2 linked regions of the Arabidopsis thaliana genome follow. The protein of the gene in region 1 purifies or fractionates together with the protein of each later gene. This does not show direct contact. Each region holds a gene or a part of one and is shown on either strand. Other genes may lie near its edges.

Region 1 (8,737 bases):
ACAACCTGCATACCATTTAACGTGGACATATTATCATTAGAAGATTCAAGAATCAATTCCGTTGGAAAAAACGAAGATGCTATAGAAAAGAAAATGATTTGTCACCATTAGATGCGGATATGATGTAAGCTTGATCAGGCATTCGATGATTATATGTGCATTATCACTGGCAGATTGTTGTCCTGCAAACAGATCAAATGGTTAATTCTCGGCAAAATTGAATATAAAATGTCTTTTTGAGGCTTATCAACTATTGCATTAACTCAACCATATACACAATCCCTATTATCAGTGGGCGCAAACGAATTTGAATCATATAAGAATTGTTTGATCTTCAACAAATGAAGCAAGATTTTATATAATGCAATAAGCTTTTGTATCCCAGCATCTAACTTTTCTTACCCTTAGTATCAGTAAGCGTTCCAGATAAAACCAGTAATAGACTGAAAAGAGTTTCTTTCTCCACAGAGTCCAAGCTTAAGACAGACAAGCCTTCCAGTATCAACGGTTGTAGCTGCACAGACCAATGTCTAATAAGAAACTGTTTAAAAAGGTACAAAAGACAAAGTCTAAATTAAGGCTCACCTTTTTGGTATTGTCCAATATGACTGTTACCGGAACATTGGATATAACATGAGCGAGAGCTACATGCAACATTGTTCTGAAAAAAAATGAAGAAACCAGTCAGCTGAGAATCAAATTTGTTGTTTGTCACAATAAACTGTAACTTGCCTATTTATGATATGTACTTGAAACTTGGAGCAACAACGAAGCCTAAACTAGTATGAGTTTATGTGGTAGCTACATCTAACCAAAATTAAACTAACAATCTTCAAGAGGTCTTCTTATTCTTCCAGAAAGGAACACTAAAACGGTTCTTGTGGGTGCAATTGCATTCTAGGGAAATGACATAGAAGGACTTAATGATGAAGACAGAGTACACACAAGAGCACCAAAGATGCTAATGACCAAACATTTTTCTATGAAAGAGTAGAACTATAAAAGAGTAACAATAAATATACTTAAAGATATATTTACCTCGATAGTGAAGTCTGGGAATTCATAATCAAAGACTCCAAAATGGGAACTATCGTAGAGAAACACCGCTGTTTATAGAGTGGTCGTATAACTGCATGGAATTTTCTGTTCAGACACACTTCCGAATCAGACATTATTATAGAGAATGCATCTGCTGCATGTTTCATGGCAGAAGGATGCAGCGCATGCCCAGAACAGTTATTGGATTTTAAACACTCTACTAGCACCAGAGCTATTTCATTAACTCTTTCATTGCCCCGCATGAGTAAACCTTTCCCAATCCATGCTAGTCCTGTGATTGCACGGGTTTGAAGGTCCAGAGAACCACAGTAACCTAAACATATCTTTGACATGGTTGTCTCACTTCCAACTATAATTTTAGCAGATCCATTAGAAGAAATCTTTTTTCCCGATGCAAAATCTGCGTGAAATATTATAGCACATGCTTCTTCCAAGGAACAATCCCTTGAGGTATTTGTTCCACCAGAACCCGAGCCCAATTTGTTAACCATTGAACCCAAAGCTTGAGCTGCTGGGATATAACCCTTAAGAAGTGTTACCAAAAGCAGATGTATAAGTGATTTCGCATCTGGAATGGATGCTGAGGGGGACGCAGCTATGATAACTGATGCAAATAGTGAAAGTATCAATTCATCCCTAGAGGACAAGTCACGCTGTAGACCCTCTAATGCAACAAAGGTCAAAGGAATAGACTCCATAGCTGGAAGCGTACAAGATGATACCACACTATAAGCTTTTTGGATTATACTGTTCTGTGAATCTACCAAAGCAATTCCTACAACTTGCCTCATCGTTGTCATCGCTGCCTCAACAAACTCCTGTTATAGAAGAGCAAATAAATTCATGACATCAAAAATAAATAAACCAAATCGAGTTCGAAGAGAAACAAAGAGTCTAAAGTTCATCTGAGCACTTACCCTACCATTAAAATCACAACTGAAAACTCCACAAAATTCAATTTGTTTCCACATACTGATAGCGAAATGCACCAAGAGTTGCTCGAGACCATCTATCTCAGCCACACTAATTGAGATCAGAACAAAATTCCACGAGTCAAAAGGACATGCAAAAGAGGAACGAAGAATATTGTTCTTGGCAGAGAGAAGGCATAGAGAAAAAGAATCTCCAATCAGATAAAAAACAGTGGAGCCATACACATGGATGCACCACAAATGTTTTTAAGTTTTCATCTTTGGAACGATAAAATTTGTAAATGAAGGAAAAAGACACAAAGAGGTCTCTATTTTGTAAAGGAATAATAGAAAAGACACTCGTGCTATTGCATTGCTTGTTGGTTTCCATGTGCTTATTATAACTCTCTGTTAGGTGAATGTGCCATCTATAGTTGTTTTCTATGTCTATTATAAAATCTTGACGGATTCTACCGAGTTACAAGGGGTTGACTAAGGGGAATAACACAATGAACCTGAACAGAGAGAACCTAAATACGCTACCAAAGTATGGCAGTTAACAAGTTGTATCATCCAGAATAGTTGGCTGTTTACGAACAACTAAAAGTCTAGATACTCACGCTGGCAAAGCTAGTTTATCTATGAGATAAAATAAATTCAAGAAAAGTTTGGGTACCGTGGAAGCAATTTGTTGGTCAAACACTTCAGGAGCTGAGAGCAATTGTCAATTGACTCGAAGTTTCCATTGACCTGACAAGTGGTTTCCAAATAGAAGTTAGATACAAGGAAGCTCTCGATCTGTTGCTTGTTGGAGATAGAAACTGTTAGATCAAATATAAGTGAAAACTTTATGGTCTAGTCACGGGGGTAACACATACATAGAAATCAGACAAACTGGAACAAAAAGCTTCTTCCAATCCTTGAACCATTTTCTCCACATACTTTGGTCCAGTGGAGCAAACTTCTGAAGTTGCTTCTAATATCATCTGATATGGAAGACCACAATGACTAGAACAGGCCAATGAGACCAAATTGTCGACAACTATACTCATGTAGCTCATAGCCTTGTCACTCTCATGATACCGATCAATAAATGAGCCGATACAGACCAGTGCCTTCAATGCCAATTCCCACACCACTGTTTTGCCACTCTTGGCTGTAATGATTGATGTTAATGTCACCAAAATATTCTCGAATTCGGTTCTCGATACAGGAGAAGAGCCGCCCCGAAACATACCCATAGTCAGCAAACCCTTAACTGTATTCATTAACAAAATAAATCATTTAGATAATAGGAATAAGAACATGGTAACCTAGAAAAAATTGTAGACCGAGTTCAGTATTAAGAAAAGACGGCAAGAACCACAAGATGGTGATATATCTATTAAGTAACCACAAGCATTCACCTCCAAGATATACATCCACAACAGAATCATCATTCGAGCGGCATACTGCAGAAGTGAACACCTGGATCAATGGAACTGAGAAGCTTTTCACCATAGAGCACCCTGAGTTTGCACATCCAGATGTTGGAGAACATTCCTCGAAACCCAGAATAAGATCTTTTGATGCTGCAAGAAGTTCAATGCATAGATGAAGACCTCCATGGTAGAGTCTGGTAGAGACTGTAGAGTTTCCGTTTTGAACAACATCGCCAGTAGAAGTTTTCTCTACAATCCCTAGAGTATTCATAAGGCGGAAAAATATGGCTTCAAAGATTATATTGCATGACTGAACCGAAGCTTTGGCAGAAACAGACAGTATCTGACTGATAACAAGAACCTCCAGTTTGCTTGGGTCAGGCATTTCTTTATACTGAGGGTATCTATAGATGGTATCAAAGACTGTGTTTATGCGTGTATCATCAACTACAAAACCTAAAAACGAGATATCTTGCTTAACAAGCCTCTGAAGAAGACTAACAGCATCTCTGTGGATCTCATTCATTTCAAACCCTGGACTAGTGAGGGATTCTATAGCAAATGACAAATGTGTCCCAGTAGAGGAATAAAATGTATCTTTCAAAGCAGACCAAAGAGCTCCATAGTGCTTCTTCATTCTGTCTACTCCATATTTCAAAGCGCAATCTTTCAGACATTTCAAAGAATCAACCTATACAGGTTTGAGTGGAACAAAAATAACTACACTTGTCCAACATCCGGAGTGGCATATAATCTAGATGTATTAACAGAAAACTACATGTTAAACGCACCTTTGCGACTGGTAGAGAAGAAGAAAGCTTTTCAAGAAGCAACGGAATAGCATACGGTTCAAAGAAAGGTGTCGAAGAGATCGCCAGCTGCAAATTGAATAAAGTACATCAGTGAATAAATTTAACCTAATGTTATACATTTATATATATATAAACAGGATTTATCATAATTCTCCCATTTTTAACCTAATACCATTTCAGCCATGCTTGAAACTGCAAGCCATACTTAGATGTAGAAAACAAAAATTAGTATTTCCATCTTCAAGGCATCTGTGCCCTCAGAAGCAGAGAAGCATATAAATTACCAGAGACAGGACAAGTCACTGTACTTTGCCTAACAGCTTTCAAAGAATGGACATGATATGCGAAATAGCTTTTCAGTCTAATCTTCATACCATTTTCTAAGGGTCTAAAACATTTTATTTTTAAGGAACTCCAAACCAGAATGATCAACTGATATTTAACCTTGAGAAACTAAGCCATTGAGCCACAATAAGCCAGCAAGAACTTTATGCAAATCATGAATTATGACACAATACTCACCAGTAGTCCCCTTGAGAGATCCTCTCTTCTAATATTAGCTTCGTCATCTTTTGTCTAATTAACCCAAAAAAAGAGCACACTAAACAGTTTAGTGAAAGAAAGAGAAACCCATCTATATAGCACATCATAAAAAGGATAGGCTTTAAACTCACATGCGTAAAATGAAGTGGGAAGTAGCAACCAATAACTTCAAAAAGATCAGATGCATCAGAAGCGAGTGGACCAGAAGGACTGGGGAACAAAGGAGCCAAAAGCTCTACTAGATGAAAAACTATCATTAAGCATTGAGGATCTTTTTCTCCGTCGATGGCTTCACACATAGCATAAACAAGTAGATCACCCTAGGAAATGGCCGTTTAGTCAATAGGATTACAAGAAAGTGAGGAAAGGTCCCGAGTAGTATTACAAATTTGGATACATATAAATAATTATTTGTCTTCCTACAAAGCTGACTCAAATAGATTTCCAAGAAAACATTCCTCACACAGTAGATCGAATGTTTAATTCTGAACTAAGTAGAGAGCATTAGCATACCATAGTCAAAATAGCTTCAGAATGTTGTTGTAAAAGGCACTCCAGAAGTTCAAAAGCGAGCTGCAAAGTCATTTAGCAGAAGATAATGAAAAAACCATCCAGCGTAGAACACAATCATTCAGATTAGATAACAGAATACTACAAATAACCGCTTCATACTTTGCGCTCATGCAGTGCTAAAGCTTGCACTTGCACATTCTGTATCATTGACTTCGCCATAGCTTGTACATCGATATCAGTAACCACACCAGCTACATCTTTCCTCTTCAGTAGAGCCAAACAACCAACAAGCGCCCCGCACATCGCTCTCCAATCTGCCTGATTCAAGTACAACAATCGTTTCACTTCTATGTTAAAACAATTGAATAGACACATTGGAATCGAGTATAATCAAACTTAAGAAGTATCAAATTACCAGCTTTTCGGAAAAGAATCCAACGAGCGTATGAACTATTGTATCGTTCAACGGCTTTGCTTTCAAACAATCGAGAATCTCCGCAAGCAGGAGAATACCTATAGTTATGAACACACCAATGTCCAATTGCGTTCAAATTGATAAGCTCATTAAACTAAGCTAGTGAATCGAAATACCTCGTGCTCGAACGAGGTTATCGGTTGTTGTCAAATACATCTCCATCTCTCTAACCTAAACATTAGCAATACAGAAATAAGCCAACAACACAAATAAAGCCTACGGAAGAATATTCAGAAGTTGTCAAGTGAGTGGAAATTGTTACCAATTGGGTAATAGATAAAGAATCATTCTCCAAAGAAGAAGCAATTGCTTTAAGACTATCATCCTGAAAACAAAATTAAACTTGGTGAATCAATGAAACTGTTGTTCTAAGTCTCAAAATTGATCAAAAGGTACCTGTTGAGAAGAGGAACGATTAGTGTCAACAAAAGTTTCGAGATGTTGAACGAGCTGATTCGGTTCTACCATCATCGCTACAAAAAGGGTTTTTAGGGTTTTTGATTTCTGAGGAGAGAGAGCTTCGCGAGCTCCGACGAAAAGAGGAAGAGAGGACAAAAAAAGAGCCGCCAAAGGAAGTGAAGGAGGAGGAAAACGAAGTGGTATTTTTGTAATTTAGATGAAAAATTATCGATATAACGTGGCGGATGTACATTGGTCGCTGAGTGTAAATATAGGCTCGCTTTGTTTTTGTTTTTACTTTTGGGCTTCTGATTATTTGGGCTGTTAGGCAATTTCCATGTTGTTGGGCCTGATCCCAAGAAATTAGAAATAGTACTTCGCTGGTTTTGGTATGAATTGCAGGAACTTTGTGCTGATGAATAGCATAAACCAAGTTTTAAGAATTAAGAGTGATTTTTTTTTTGTCAAAAAAAAAAAGAATAAAGAGTGATCAATTTTTTTTAAGGGAATTAACCGAATTTAGTCGTTTACGTGTTTTATTTATTTACGTATTGATTCTTTATGTCCTTTAGAGTTCAAATTTAAAGCTAACCGTTTAGGGCGTTTTCTAGAATTTGTAATGTTTCATATTGTTTTTGTTGGCATTTCTTTATCTATGTGGTTTAATAGAGTACACTTTAAATAACTTAAAGATAGCATAGAATACTAAAAATATTGCTGTCATTTTTACCAAAAAATCTATGTTAGCCTTTTTTTTTTTTGTCGACAAATCTATGTTAGTCTAGTAAATCCATTTAAATCTATGTTACATGTGTGTCAATATAAGTAATTCTCTAATAATTTCCTACTTTAGCCTCCTTTTCCCTGTTTTCTATGAGCGAATTCTTCCTAAGTAAGCAATACAGTACTTCGATTTCCTCTCTTGATTTTCTCGTAATGTACGATGGTTGCAAAAATATATATTTATATTCGTAGAAATACTCAAATCACTATTAATTAACGTATATTACATAACTCGAAGACCAGATCGTAACATCATAAATAAGCGTCACCAAAATGTCTGGTTAGAACTATTTAGAGTCTTGTTACAGTTAATGCATGAAAAAGAAAGAAAGTGTTGGAGTAAAAAACAAAAATGTTGTTGAAAAAAGCGAAGAAAAAATGTTATAATACAAGATTTTTCAACTCTTCTCAACACTCGAGGAACGTCGTCTTCAACTTCTTGCCTTGAATTTTGAGATCTTCTTTTTGAGCTCAACACTCGTGCGCATCTGACTTTGACCCAACATCTACTACGCATATATGTGTGTGTGCCTGCATGCAAGTAGCCATATTATAGTTTAATGTTTGATAAAAACGAAAACCAAAAGAAACTTTCTTTTTCTCAAATCTTCCTTAGCGTCCTCTTGTTTCGTGGATCCTAGAACCCTTTTTCTTCCTCTTCAATCCCCAAAACACGCAACTTTCTTCTTCAAAAATATAATAGTGAAGAAGAATAAATGAACGACCAAATGTCTCCAGTTTCATCATACCATATTGGTTTTGATATACTTTATCTACTTAGTTTTCACAATTTATATACTCAATAATGGAAACTTTCAGCCTCAAGGATTGTTCGTCCGTCGCCTCCAGCCCGATTTCTTCTCCAAATATCAGTACCCTTTTGAAAATCAAAGTTCTTTCTTGGTATGAATCTCAAGACTATCTTCGTGATGTCATATAACAAATCTGAATTATTCATGTTGTAGACTTATGTAATGTAACTGTGTGTGTGTGTGTCACAGGAGTAAAGAGACCGGTCTACCCGCGTCAGTACATGTTCGAGTTTGCAACAAGAGTTTTAACCTTCACAAGGTAATAATGATAATCAAATCTCTCTCTCAAGAAATTCTGTTTTCAACCAATACATGTAGCTTAGTGGTTTTTGTTAATATAATGCCTTACTTTTTTTGTTTATCTTTTGTAGAGTCTCTTGTGTGCAAAGAGCGGATATTTTAAGGAAAGAGAGGATCAGCTATCGGAGATCGAGATACCACAAGAGTTTCCTGGTGGAGCAGAGACCTTTGAGAAGATTATGCTTTTCATTTATGGCTGTCCAACTTTAATACATCCTTTCAACATCGCTGGACTACGATGTGCAGCTCAATTTCTTGAAATGACAGAGCAACATTCGACGGGTAACCTCTGCGAGAGATTTGACCTTTATCTAAACCAAGTTGTCTTGCAAAACTGGGATGACACGTTAGTTGTTCTGAAGAAATGTCAGGATCTAGTGCCTTGGTCTGAAGATCTACTCATCGTGAGCCGGTGCATTGAGTCTCTGGCTTTCACGGCTTGTATGGAGATTCTCGATCCCGAAAGACGAAGAGAAAAGCCAGTCATCATGCTTGAAGGTATGGTGAATCAACCATGGGAATATACAAACATAGAGAGAATAATAAACCAAGATACTTGGATCAAAGACCTCACGGATCTTCCATTCGAATTCTTCAAAAAGATTATTGGGTCGCTTAGAAGACAAGGTATGAAAGAAAGATATGTAAGTCCATTGGTCGCCCTTTACGCCAGTAAATCTGTAATACCTGAAGGTCAAACTAATACTGA
Region 2 (5,699 bases), on another chromosome or scaffold:
GAATTGTAGTTTTAAAGCCTACGAATCTGCCAACTGGTCGTTAATTTCACTATCCCTCTCTTGGCCATAGTCTTCCGCGCATCCTTCTCCGTCGTGTAATCATCTCCTTCGCCGCCGTTGAAAGAATCCTTCGGTGAAAGCGTTTCGGTGGCGAGATCTTTGATCGTGTGAAATTAGGGAGTCACGAACTAAAAAGTGAACTCGATTGATTGAAGATTGTTGTCACGAGAGAACGAAAGCACATCAGTGATCAGTCTCTCAGGGAAATTGCAGGTATGAAAAAGAAAGAAGAAGAAGAAGAAGAAGAAGATAAAAGATGGTATTTTGATTTCTCAACGAAGAAGAAGATACGAGAGTTGGAGTATTTATAAGCAAACGCTCCATTGAAAAAAGGAAATTGTCTCTTTTTTCTATGTTTTGCGAAGAAAAGGAAATTGATCAATGTAACAAAAAGTCAAATTAAGTTACCGTTACAAGAACAAATATGTTTCTTACTACCTACGTAATTTATTTGATGTTCACAAATCACAATTTAGAGTGTTTGTTGAAAGAGATGGAACATCAACAAAACAAGCCTTGTAAAGTAACACAAATCTATAAAAGTCAAACCTAGTCATGTATTAACATAATGCTCGAAACAGAATGAAAAATATGCCACTAGCACAATCTTACTCAAACTACAAGCAAATTCACAACACAACACACACATCTCCTAAACGTATCACTACCTTTCCAAGCAAAAATTTCGTAGAACTCGCCACAAGCACAAGCCCCCATAAACCAGTTGCTCTGCTTCCGTTTGTAATGACATGGTCAAAATGTCAATGGCTTATCTAGTCGGCTTACTCTAACTTTCGTGTATCTCATATTTGAAACAGACAAGCTCACCATTCAAAAGCTTGTTTAGCTGAACAACACTCAAATGTATCACCGTCGTTTACTCAAACTCATATAGGAACCTACCTACCTAAGACTAGCTTCTCAATATCCAAGCAACAATGTCTGATGATGGAGGAAGAAGAAGTGAGATTGATGGGTGTGTAGAAACTTAGGCATCGTCACAATGGTTCCTTAATCTCGTAAATTCCTCTGTTTTGTGTGTTTGGATTTGAGGAAGTAACGAAACAGAACAAATTTATCCATTGTTCTGAGGGTATAGTTGTCATTTGGCACCATCTACGGTGACGTGGAATAGTTCAAACCATATTCAACCGAAATAACCAAATCGATAACCGAATCAAATTTTAGTAAATAGAGAGATGTCTCTCATATACCACATCACCCATTACATTTTCTGATTAAGTAAAGTGCAATGAAAACAGAGAGAAGATTTGAATTCTTAACGAGACAAAAGTAAACAAAACCTTTCAAAGATTCAGACAAGAACAACCCTTAAATCTTAATCCATCCCAGACTCAATAAAATAGTAAAAATGTGCCAGCAATTAAGGTCAAATGGAACACAAAATTCAACAAGATATCGTCATCATCTTACTCCATTAGTACCCAAAATTGATCATCATAATGCAGAACTTGAATATCTGCTATCTACCGTACCCAACCTCCTTCAATGTTGTGGATTCCTCCAACGAGACCATCATCGATAAAATCTCCTCCTCGCTTCACCTTATCCTCTGTAGGCTTCACCGGATAGTCCCCCGTGAAGCATGCATAGCAGAAGCTTCTAGAATCTTCCCCCAAATGTTTCTTTAACGTCTCAAACGACAAAAACGCAAGGGAATCACATCCGATGTAATCCCTGATTTCATCAACACTCATCCTATTCGATATCAACTCATTTGAGCTAGGCGTGTCCACTCCGTAGTAACAAGATGCAATAATAGGAGGACTCGCGATCCTCATGTGAACCTCTTTCGCACCCGCTTCTCTCAATAAACGCACAATCTTGGACGAAGTTGTTCCTCTAACAATCGAATCATCAACAACAACAACTCTTTTCCCTTCTAAAACTCCTCGGACTGGCGATAGCTTCAGCTTCACTCCAAAATCTCTGATTTTCTGAGACGGCTCAATGAAAGTCCTTCCAACATAATGAGACCTAATCAAACCTTGCTGAAACGCTACACCAGCTTTAGCCGCGTAACCAAGAGCAGCCACAACACCCGAGTCAGGCACAGCGATCACCACATCACAATCAACAGGTGACTCAGTAGCTAAAATCTCACCAAAGACATGCCTAGACTCATACACAGACCGACCAAAGACAATCGAATTAGGCAACGAGAAGTAAATATGTTCGAAAATGCATTGCTTTGGCTCAGGATGAGGCATCAAACACTGACATTTGACACCATCTTTATCCACAACTAAAACCTCACCAGGATAAACCTCTCTCTCATAAGTAGCTTCAATCAAATCAAGAGCACAAGTCTCAGAAGCAAACACAACAGCTCCATTACTTCTCCTACCCATAACTAAAGGCCTAAACCCATGTGGGTCACGAACAGCAACAAGCTTATCCTCAGTCACAAACACCATCGAATAAGCACCTTGAAGCTTCTCACAAGCATCAACAATTCTCATGAAAAAGGGTCTAGCTTTAGAAATGGCAATCAAATGAAGCACAACCTCAGTATCAGAGCTAGTATTGAAAATCGAACCATTTTCCTCTAAATCAGCTCTCAATTTCGTGTAATTCACTAAATTGCCATTGTGAGCAACACCAACAGAGCCAAATCGATAACCAGCAACAAACGGCTGAACGTTCTTGAGCATAGAAGAACCAGCAGTCGAGTACCTGACATGACCAATGGCTATGTCTCCTGGTAATTGATCGAGTTTGGATTCACTGAAAACCTCAGAGACCAAACCAACACCTGTAATGGTCTGAAGAACCTTATCTTTACTAACGGTAACAATACCTGCACCTTCTTGACCTCGATGCTGAAGCGCATGGAGAGCTAAGTAACAGAGTCGTGAAGCTTCTGAGTCACCGTAGATTCCGACAACTCCACACTCTTCCCGAGGCTTCTCGTCATAATCATCGTTGTCTGCCGCCAACAGGGTAAGAGGGTTTGAAACTCTGAGCGGAAACGAAGGAGAAGAAGAAGAAGAGGAGATAGAAGCCGGAAGAGGAGAGAAAGAGGAGGAGGAGGGGTTAAGGAAGGGATTACGGAGGAAACGGTGAGGCTTATTGTTGTTGTTGTTGTTAGAGAGCTTGTTGGGTTTAGCATTGAGAGATAGAGAAGAAGAGATGCTAGAGGTGGCCGCCATGGATGATTTTTGAGAGCAATGCGAATAAAAATTTGCTCTTTTAGGTTTATTTTAATTTTCTTCTGATTTGTTTTTGGTTTTGGGGTCAATTTGGGGAAAGGGTTGTATTTGACTGTGTATGTATAGCACACGTCGTCAGTGAAGTGACCGCCTCACCCTTTTTTTTTTTTTTTCTGCGAATCTTTTTAAACAATTTTTCTTTCGGCTTTAAATTCTTTGTACTTTGATGATATTTTAGAAGAGAATCTCTATTTTTTTCGTGGTGGGTCCCCTTTTCTGTGGCTCAAAATGCATTTTTAAAACGAAACGGGTCGGCTTGATACAAAGCGGGTCGGGCGCACACAATTAGAGAAAAGCAATTCTTAATTCATCAAACCAAAGCCATATGGGCTTTTCTTTGAGGCTTTGTAAAAAGCCTGCTCTTTCAAATTCTTAAGGAAAATCAAATAAAGAAGAAGATATCTGAGTATTTATTAATTTTCTTTTATGTGTTGAGTAAGATATTATATATTAAAAACAAAAAAATTGATATATGCATCAATTCAATATTCTTACCAAAAAAAATACACACAAACCAATTATGAAAAGTTGACCAATTTTGTTTCTGAAAAAAATTTGTTAAAAAGAATGAAAACAAAAACAGAGCTATGAATCTTTTATTTATAAGATAAAGAAGGAAAAAAAAAGAGAAAAAAAATCAAAAAACCATAAATAGAGAAGAGTAAAATCGTAATTTAGCAAACGTTAGAGGGGCAAAATGAAACCTAAATGATTAACCTTTAAATACCGTAACGCTCCCTTCAATATTCCCCTGCTTGCCGTATTATTCCAAAATTTGGTGAAAGCAACGCCTAAAGCAAAAATGTCTCTTCTCTAACCTTTTTTTTTTTTTTTTTTTTTTGCTCTCCAACTTTCCCTTCATTTTCTGGGGAAAAGCGAGCCAAAAAACGCAAAAGCAATCCACAAGAAGCAATTGTTCGATATCAATGGGGAAGAACAATAAGATCGGAAGCGTTGTTCGGATCCGTCAGATGCTTAAACAATGGCAGAAAAAAGCTCACATCGGATCTAGCAACAACGATCCTGTTTCCGATGTACCTCCTGGTCACGTTGCTGTTTCCGTCGGTGAGAATCGTCGGAGATACGTTGTCCGTGCTAAGCATTTGAACCATCCGATTTTCCGACGGCTTCTAGCTGAGGCTGAGGAAGAGTATGGATTCGCTAACGTTGGTCCGTTAGCGATTCCTTGTGATGAATCGTTGTTTGAGGATATTATTGCGATTGTGACTCGGTGTGAGTCGTCATCATCATCTGGACGAGGTAATCCTCCGGCGGCGACGCTTGAGGATCTCCGGAGGTGTAGTCATGTTGGATTGGCGAAGAACAACGTTGAATCTCGTCCGTTACTTCCTGGGATTGCTGAAAAATCTGTGTGCTAATGAAATTTGCAAACGGAATGTGATTGAAACTTTGGTTAGAGATTTAATTTTGAAAGTTTTAATTTAATTTCGTTGCTATTTTTTTTAATGATTTTTGACTTTGTTTTTGGGAAGGAGATGGCAAAATTAGGGTTTGATATTGTTTTTGGTTGTCGCCAGTGTCGTCGTCCCAGAATGATGAAGATTTGATGAAGGAGATAGTTTTTTTGGAGAGAGGAGCCCTCAGTTTTTAATTTAGATATTTTTGATTCTGGTCGAGAGATTCTTATTTATATTTCTCTTGGCTATTTTCAATTTGTATATTCAGATTTCTGAATTTTAACTGAGGAATAATAAATTAATTTGGAATTATTGTTGTCAATTTATTTGTTTATTGCTTAAAGAAAGATGCTTTTTGATTTTCTCATTATAGTTCTTGACTTCTTGTTACCGAAATATTTGGTCAAGAAGATGATTTCAAACCTAATTTGCAGTTTATACAACCAAAGATGATCTGCAAAATACCTTTCTGATTTCAGAGTTACCGTTTCAACACTATTTTCACTAATTAGAGTAACATTACTTAACAAAAACAGTAAACATCTCTGATTTGATATGAGAAACCAAAGAAAGTAAAGAAAAACCAAGTTACATTTTTTACCAAAAAAAAAAAAAAAACAAGTTACATAGAAAACAAAGATATTATATATATGATTCTCACCAAAAAAATATATTTACGTTTACTATATGAAGAATAGCTACTAAGTCAATATCATACAAGCAAATTAATGTTTGTAGATATCTATGCAAAATTATGTGATATTATTAGCTATACTGGTGTATTTGAAAGAGAAAAAAGTTATATGTTTGGTCAAAAATACCTTCATAATAAATGTAAATGTTTTAGACCGAACATTTTTAATCACATTAGAAAGTACTTTTACTTGTGGAAAATTAGAAAATAAATAATCGTGGACTATTTGTCTCCTCTAAATTTTAAAATTATCTCTCCCTACCTTGACCAACATTATCTAATTTCCATTTGTAC

The links. Proteins that work in one complex are often made in the same cells at the same time.
Region 2: the proteins of MET18 (region 1) and ASE2 purify together in Arabidopsis thaliana (affinity purification with western blotting; one study listed by BioGRID). This does not show direct contact.

The regions. Positions count from the first base shown.
Region 1 is NC_003076.8:19,508,570-19,517,306, forward strand, and holds the start of MET18 (ARM repeat superfamily protein), read right to left. Parts: upstream 6,327-8,737; 5' UTR 6,206-6,326; coding exon 6,131-6,205; intron 6,060-6,130; coding exon 5,997-6,059; intron 5,906-5,996; coding exon 5,851-5,905; intron 5,773-5,850; coding exon 5,675-5,772; intron 5,578-5,674; coding exon 5,419-5,577; intron 5,320-5,418; coding exon 5,260-5,319; intron 5,067-5,259; coding exon 4,878-5,066; intron 4,780-4,877; coding exon 4,726-4,779; intron 4,270-4,725; coding exon 4,183-4,269; intron 4,083-4,182; coding exon 3,377-4,082; intron 3,229-3,376; coding exon 2,849-3,228; intron 2,721-2,848; coding exon 2,647-2,720; intron 2,083-2,646; coding exon 1,977-2,082; intron 1,878-1,976; coding exon 1,039-1,877; intron 662-1,038; coding exon 586-661; intron 515-585; coding exon 403-514; intron 183-402; coding exon 106-182; intron 6-105; coding exon 1-5. Other genes in the region: AT5G48130 (Phototropic-responsive NPH3 family protein), read left to right, coding at 7,722-7,819, 7,918-7,987, 8,100-8,737. UniProt on the Arabidopsis thaliana protein: May select specific target apoproteins to which a Fe-S cluster produced by the cytosolic iron-sulfur (Fe-S) protein assembly (CIA) pathway is transferred.
Region 2 is NC_003075.7:16,573,347-16,579,045, forward strand, and holds ASE2 (GLN phosphoribosyl pyrophosphate amidotransferase 2), read right to left. Parts: upstream 3,408-5,699; 5' UTR 3,234-3,407; coding exon 1,548-3,233; 3' UTR 1,198-1,547; downstream 1-1,197. Other genes in the region: AT4G34750 (SAUR-like auxin-responsive protein family), read left to right, coding at 4,220-4,672. UniProt on the Arabidopsis thaliana protein: Catalyzes the first committed step of 'de novo purine biosynthesis from glutamine. Required for chloroplast biogenesis and cell division.